Lepisosteus oculatus: one gene and its partner. The main gene of each other region encodes a partner of the protein of the gene in region 2 in a complex. Links are inferred from orthologs where the notes say so. Each region holds a gene or a part of one and is shown on either strand. Other genes may lie near its edges.

What was found.
Region 1: the proteins of cab39 (region 2) and strada are in contact, whole or in part, in a crystal structure (PDB 3GNI), measured with the Homo sapiens proteins. The link is inferred for Lepisosteus oculatus from reciprocal best matches to the Homo sapiens genes CAB39 and STRADA. Residues at the interface, in NP_001124321.1 of Homo sapiens: Leu26, Glu27, Lys28, Gln29, Tyr55, Gly56, Thr57, Asn58, Ala85, Asp86, Gln88, Leu89, Phe92, Glu93, Lys96, Arg107, Glu138, Leu141, Ile145, Ser176, Thr177, Phe178, Asp179, Ser182, Asp183, Glu221, Asn222, Tyr223, Val224, Arg227; in NP_001003787.1 of Homo sapiens: Pro64, Leu104, Glu105, Cys107, Ser108, Asn109, Val112, Gln116, Leu119, His120, Lys123, Leu124, Phe125, Asn126, Thr136, Phe137, Ile138, Asp140, Asn141, Leu143, Tyr185, Met189, His223, Gly224, Arg226, Val426, Asp427, Asp428, Trp429, Glu430.

What each region holds. Positions count from the first base shown.
Region 1 is NC_090723.1:1,910,883-1,914,634, forward strand, and holds the start of strada (STE20-related kinase adapter protein alpha), read left to right. Parts: upstream 1-1,577; 5' UTR 1,578-1,761; intron 1,762-2,396; exon of another isoform or gene 2,397-2,501; intron 2,502-3,752. UniProt on the Homo sapiens protein: Pseudokinase which, in complex with CAB39/MO25 (CAB39/MO25alpha or CAB39L/MO25beta), binds to and activates STK11/LKB1.
Region 2 is NC_090708.1:8,183,522-8,187,273, forward strand, and holds the start of cab39 (calcium-binding protein 39), read left to right. Parts: upstream 1-1,281; 5' UTR 1,282-1,515; intron 1,516-1,634; exon of another isoform or gene 1,635-1,704; intron 1,705-3,752. UniProt on the Homo sapiens protein: Component of a complex that binds and activates STK11/LKB1. In the complex, required to stabilize the interaction between CAB39/MO25 (CAB39/MO25alpha or CAB39L/MO25beta) and STK11/LKB1.

The DNA of each region.
Region 1 (3,752 bases), on a different chromosome or scaffold from region 2:
GACATCTGTCATGTTGTGTTATTTGGATGGTCTGTTTATTCAAGGTGTCTCTCATTTAATGACCTGCATTACAAGTTTACATACATATACAAAACATCTACTGAACCAGCACAGTAGCAGAAGCAGCTACAGCAAACAACTCAGCAAAATAAAAGGCCCATTATGTCCACAAGCCCTGCTACCCTGTACATGCTGTGAACCCATCATCTTCCCCCAATGAGATACAAAGCTAAACCAGTTACAGGGTTTCGTTTGTATTTGCAAGATCGCAGTACAGAGGAGGAAATCTTTTCTAAGCCTAGATCTATAAGTGATTTTTTTTTTGCAGTTCGTTACGGGATATTTATGCAAGCATGGAAAAGTGTTACTAGTAGATAAATACAGAAAACATTCCTCGACAGATAATTTAATTCGATTCTTGTTCAAAACGTTATTAAAGCAAGGCTACAGACCCCCGGGACCGGGAACAGCACTAACAAGGCAACACGAAGCTTCAAGTGCGGATTTTTAACGACGTCATCTAATTCTAGTAAAAACAGGGTCACAAAGTTCAATCGACAACTTTCTCTATTTCTGCAACATGCCGACTTCTCTAGCGTAGTATGCCAACTGCCATTTTTTACATCGTCGCAAGCGACACTTAAAAACACAACATCGTATTTTCTCATCATGCAACCCTCGCACGTCGAATCACCTTGGAGTCACGTCTTCACTCAAATGATCCTAGCAGTGTGGAGATCCGATTACTAAAATAAATGCGTGGCGATGAGGTTAACGTTTAGGGAAGAAACAAAGAAAATGCTCTTTAAAAACCTGAAATTCAAAACCAATTTAAAATATCAAGACATGACTTTAGATACACGGTGAATCGACACACAGGCAATTTTAGATTTAAGATTTAAATGTGTCTTATACTTTGCAACCAGTATCTATCAAGTTTAAAACTGGTTATTTCCCCCGGGCTCCTCTATATATGCGCACTGGGTACCCGCCTCCCATTCAACGACGATCGAAAACTGAACAGATTTTGCACACGTACAGTACAAGACTACGGAAGTAACGCTCTATTAAAGGAATAAAAACGATGCAAATGCGTTTCCGTTTCGCATCGGTCATATACAACGCATTTGCTTAACCTGAATTCGCTGAACGCATTGTTGCATTTCACTCAACGCAGGGAGCCATACCACGGCCGCTGTTCTGATTGGTAGCAACATCTAGATGTGTTTCGCCAACAACTCAGAGTATTCTGCATCGTAAACCTTTTCTCAACGATACTGAAAAGCCTCTACACGTAGTTTCCTTTAAAATCTGTCGAAATTTACCTGTTTGCGACTGAGCAAATCTTGTTTACCCCCAAAGCCCGCAATCCTTCTACACGACTGTGTCCTACGTCACGTATGCCTCAAGTACCCAGTGAAGTGTGTGCTACGTCATAAATAAGCGACGCTAGGTCGCCTGACATGCTAACAATATTAACCAATCAACACTTGGAGATTCGGTTATGATCCCGCCTTCTGCTGTTATTGACAGTCGAACTCACCTATTAGATGGTCAGTTCTCTCCTAAGACACCCTTCATGACCTATTAACGCAGTTTTTTAAGTGCCATGTTCTGCGATAAACCCAGGACTGGTCAGAAAAATCCAGATCCAAACTAGGCAGGCGTTTTTTTACGTTAGGTGTTACAAATTTGTGGATTTGTAAAGTAGATTGTTTTCAATTCACATTTCCAAACCTCTGCCTTCTAACAGTGTCTAAGGTGAGACGTGATTTTGAAAAATTTCTGTAAAAAGTGGGGTTTATGTTTTGCAAATCCTGAATTGCTTATTTGCCTTTTCTACACACTTATATTGTCAGTTTTTGCGTACAGCAAAGCAAAACTGATATTGTTTTTGGAAGAGTTCAGAGAGTTTCAAATATCTAGTTGTCTTATTTACCTGCATTTGTTAGTTAAGTAACCGAAGTCTTAAAAAAAAACAAATTGTATCAAATGATTGAATAACTGTTCCATAAGCATTCTTGATAAACACAGTCATATAGAATAAATACCTCTTTGTAAACATGTTTTCAGTATTGTCGTTAATGAAATCCTCGTAGTAATTGCCGTTGACAGATATCATTTAAACGAGAAAACCTATGGTAATGTGTCTATGGCCGGATGAGATGGGAGACTAGGTAATTTTTAATTTCCAGATTTCGAGAACGTTATCTAGTCAATCTAAGTTTAGTCACCTCTGCGCAATTACTGAACACGGTTCTGTGGAAGAAGAGCTCGCAGATGAACCGTAGTGCTCATTTCTCCTTTGCAAGTCTGGATCTGCTGGTGTTTCACCTGTTTTAAATTCATAGACTGCGCACCCTGCGTTTTTAGCAATTTGCTCTGGTGGCTGCGTCGTGTCGGGAGTGTTTTTACGCCGCGCATGTGATGCCTTCCTGGCTCTCCTAACGTTGTGTGGCGTTGGATGAGGGAGTACCTGGTTCCGTTGTTGAGCAGTCGCGGTGTGTAACTATGACATTTCATCTTAAGTTTAGCTTTCTTTTTGTAAAAGTAGTGATGCACCGTGTGGAAACGATTTCTCATTTGATCTTTAAAACGCCAAGAAAATCGGTTAATCGATTTTTTTCCCCTTAGTTACCTTTTCTCATAGCTGGTCATTTCTGCTTCAACCTCTATGGTGCCCCCTCCGCAATGTATCTTAGGCTGTCCCGAGTACAGCCAGTGATGTGGTCAAATTGCCCATATCTCTTCTAGTGCAAGAAACCAGTGACACGAGTAGACCTGCGTCTTTACGCGAGGTGTTTTTACGCGAATTCGTGTACAGGCGGTCAGTGACGGAGAAATAAAACGATGCGGGAGATTGTGCGAATTCACATGTGGCACTGCGCGCACCTGAGCTACACCCAGGAACTCGTTACCGAGCCTGTAGCGCACCGGTGCGGCGTCACCCTCGGTATGGCTCGGAAACCTGAAAACAGGTAGGAAGGGTAAAGGCGAGTCGTGAAAAGTGCCCGATTTGGAGTTAAGAATCGAGATTTTGAACAAGTTAAGCGGTGGGGTGACGCAGACCAGTCTGACGCGTGCTCTACGGCAGAAATCAATCCTTGATTCGTGCAGTTTGAGACAGAATGCAATTCGTGAGAGCTAGGCATCTCCTGTGTTCCCTGCATTGTATTATCAAATTTTATTTGACCTCTTCGGCATGCTGTACAGTATTGTATTTGCTGTATTGCTCTATCCGTGATACCATAAACCGCATGCATGCACATACTAATGCACTTGAGATTGATTGTCCTTGTTTCAGGGCGGGGAATAGGTCTAAGGGAGGGTGTTCTGATTATACGCTCTTTGTCAGGAACCTAACTTTACCTCGTAAGACACGAGTCCACTGTATTCCTCTTGCTGCGCGTTTCTTGTACAGGGCTGCGTTTATTTACAAACAGATCTCCCCATCTGGAATTGCTGATTTTTTTTTTAGCAACTTGGCTTTACAGCTCCAACCCTTGTACTACAGTAAAACCGAGGACCAGTGGAGATAATCCTGGAAGGTCCAGCATGCTTTACAGGAATGTCTGTACTAGCTGGCATGTCGCTTACTGAGGGTTGTGTGCTAAATTGCAGTCACGGTTAGCTAATGATGCAGCCCATGCTCGTATCCCGTGGCCGGCAGAGGAATCCTACTCCGTTGGGCCCCTGAGCAAGGCCCTTAACCTCAACTGCTCCAGGGGCGCTGTACAATGGCTGACCCTGTA
Region 2 (3,752 bases):
CCTCTGTTTCTCGGGCTTCTGAGAGGTGTGAAATGTTGGAGTTGTCTGACTAGATGCCACATTCCTGAAGGCCAGGGCACCTGATAGCATCTGTGCTGTCCCACACAGTTTGTGACTTTGTGACTTTGTGATTAAAGGGGGGTGGGGTTTTATATCTCACTGCTCTTCTAATTGTACCTTGTTCCTGTGAATAACACCATTTGTAGCTACTCTTCATGTTTTGCTACTGGTCTTTACAGCTCTACCGATCCACTCTGTTGGCTTAATGTACACAAGGTATATGTGGCTGTCCCCATACTTCTCTGAAACTGAAATCATCACCTAGTTAAAAATTCACATGGGAATACAGAATCCGTTAAAAATGTCCCATTGGCCTAAAGTAATTTTCCCTCTCTTGTCAGCCACCTTATCATGGTGGTTTATTTAACTACACAAAGTTTCTTTGGCCTGTGATATTTCTCATTTCTAGCTGGTTGTATGCTAATTACTTGACTGTAGGGCCTCATTTGCTTCTCATACAATATAGTTCTGTCATGTCTCTTTACATACTGTATACTGTATGTAACATGGTTCGATTAACTCTTGTTTGGGAATACGCCGATAGGGTAAAAAAAAAAAACTATCGTTGATCATTGGTTTTGTTGTGCTTGTTCTCTAAAAATACATTTCCACCCCAATCCCGTTCTGTCTGGTCTTGCTGTACGGAATAAAGTACAAAAGCCTTGGGAAGTGACGTATCTTAAGTTTCCTATGAAAAACAAAAATGCAAAAAAAATTTAAACAAATGTATTAAACGTATGAAGAATTTACAAATACAACCAGAGGATCAGAAACAGGTACAAGAGAAAAAAACACAAACAGAAAAAAAAAACAATGAACTGCCGGAGGTAAAGTAAATTATGTGATCAAATGGTATTTTTTACATATATCAAATGTTTTCTTGCTTCAGCCTTTTTTATCGAATTTAGTGTTTCAACTCCACCTCAAAAGTACTAAAAAGGGGAGTATTATTAGACCGTTTTGATTTATGAATGTGAAATTCACCCAGAATGACCAATACATTTACTGTACATAAATGCTCTTTTTCGAAATTTCCTATTAAACAGTTCAATAAAATATCGAAATCCTCAACTGCCTGCAAACAATAAAGGTTTGCTGGACTGGGTCATACTGGCATTCGTAGTACTCGAGGAATGAGGAAACATTTCGACTAGAGACTGGCGGCGCAGACCCCACGGTGGCTGCGCAGTGTTGTTGCTATGACACTGGCGGGCGGGCGATGGCAGCAGAGAGCGGCCTTTTCGGTATCACAGCGGAAATAGAAACAGCACTGCACTGAGAATTCGCACAGTTACATCCAGCTGCAGGGAGAACTAGGAAATAAACTAAAAGTATAATCACGGAGGGGCAGTAAATTAAGGAAAACCGGGCGGTATCAACCCCTGCCATTCTCCTCACTTGCTTCTGCGATTCCAAAACACTCGGAGACCAAGGAAGACGGGTCGTGTTTGCAAGGTTTGTTGCAGAGTAATATTTACTATCTCATGCAAACAGCGAAGTTTTTTCCCCTCTCTCTCTCTCTCTCGTCTTGCAGGCCTGTCAGTGTGCTCTTTTAGGCGAGAAAAGAGGAAAATTGTGTGGTGTAAAAAGAAAAACAGCGCAGCGGGTCTATGTCCGTGAGTCCTCACTTTGGAGAATAAACTGGTTTGTGTTCGCATCATTTAGATGGAAAAAGTAACAGTCTGTAGTTGTGCTGTCTTTGTGCGGAGATTTAAACAAGCAGAGCATTTTTTTTTCTTAAGGCCCGGTTGCTTGAGGCCTGCTGGTCAGATTGGATCCAGCACACGGTGCAGTGTGCACTGCTGGGACTTTCCTGTGTTGTGATTGATGTATTCATATAAGTTAACGATTCTGGGCGATGCAATACCAAATGGCTGTTTTTCTTACAGTTGCGAATTTGCAAATCAGCTGTTGGAGTGAAATAAACCACAGCAAACCGATAACAGAGTATCAGCTACTGCTGTTTAGAGACGACTGTCACATCTTGTCTCCAATTTCTGTTTTGTGTGTTTTTTTTTTTCCTGCTAGGGTGCAACAACTTAGCGTTGAAGGTGTATATTTCTGTTTTTCCCTAAAATGACTACCGAGCACGATTGGTAAGCCTGGTACATACTGCGCACATGCAGCACATAGCTCCTTCATTACCTATGTAGCCTTCGTATGTATTCATTTCCTTTAGTGTTTTTTATTTATTATATGCGTACGTGGTCATCTTTTGATTACCACCTTCCGCTGTGATTTGTAATTGTCTAGGGCTGGACGAAAACTCAGTGCCATATTTGTCAAATTACCTGCCACCGTCTGAAAACTGAACGCGTAACATATTGCTTTTGAGCTTGAAGTTGAGGTTGTGCAACGCTATGAAGCAAAAGGGTGTAACAGGCAAGGAAAATGTAGCGATCTGCGTAAACCAAACACTCGTGGTTCAAAGTTCAGGCCGTGGTGTAGGAATAATTGGTTTAGCAAGCTAAATTCGACTTTCTGTCCGTCTTGCCTATTGGTAGCAGTAAATGAGGTGCCGTATGTTTTGTATTCAAAGGCAAAATGAAGTCATGCTATTTATACAACGTGGAATGTCGTTTAAACGATTAAAATAAATGGTGTGTCATTTTAGACATCCTGCTTTCAAGTCTTATCTAAATACCACTCTAGAACGAAAACCTATCAAGGCTTGATTTTAATGAGCTTATGTGGTACAGTCATTTGAAATGCATATAACAAAGATTAATGTGTTATCTTATTGAAGCAGTCATTAGTCTTTCTATTTGTTTATGCCATTTCCATAACTTGTTCCTGTATGATTTTGTGCTACACTTGAAATGTAATTGTGGTTGTCCCCCTTTACATATTATAGAGTGACTAATTGAGCTCAATGATAAGAGGTTTCTTGTTGTTCTGCTGTTGTGGTATTTATGGGTTTAATAACCTTTGAGCAAAACCACACTTATAATTATTCCGTTTTGTAAATGTCAGCTCATACAAAAATAACAAAATGCACAGAACTTGTAAACTAAAATGGGAGCTCGTATAGCTTTTGACTCAAGACATTTTTGATTGTGTTGACTGAGGCGTTGAAGCAGAAGAGATTATCTTGAAATAAATGACCTCCATCTGTAAGGATAAAGGCAAAATATCCAGTGAGAGATTTGATGTTATAACAGATTAATTTGTTGAAATAGAAGACCAAAGTGATTACATTATGCCATATGTATGACCAACATCCTGTCACACGCCTATAGATTGTACACATTAAGCCTAAGCTTTTTATGTAAAAGAAGCCAAGCTAGCTGTGTATACATTCAGAAATATGATGCAAAAATGTTGTATTGGGTATTAATCTAAAGATAATTGGACCTTTATGAAGTACACAGGAATGATGCTGCACACATTTGTGGATGCTTTATATTTTGCTAAGGCACTGTGATTATAATCATGAGCATTAGTTATACTTTTCTATTTGCTATTAGATGTTATAGAGGAATCGCATCTTTTCAATAGATAAAAACATGTCACAAGAGTTCCTTTAAATACGAACATTACAAATGGTAAAAATAAAATGAAGCCCATATAAGTTAAATGCTCAGTTAATATCAAGGTTGTCAACCTTGATATACAACTGTCCAGCAGGTCTTATGGGTCATCCTTATATCAGCTGTTTCTAAATGCTTGGAATAATTGTGCTGGCCACTTAA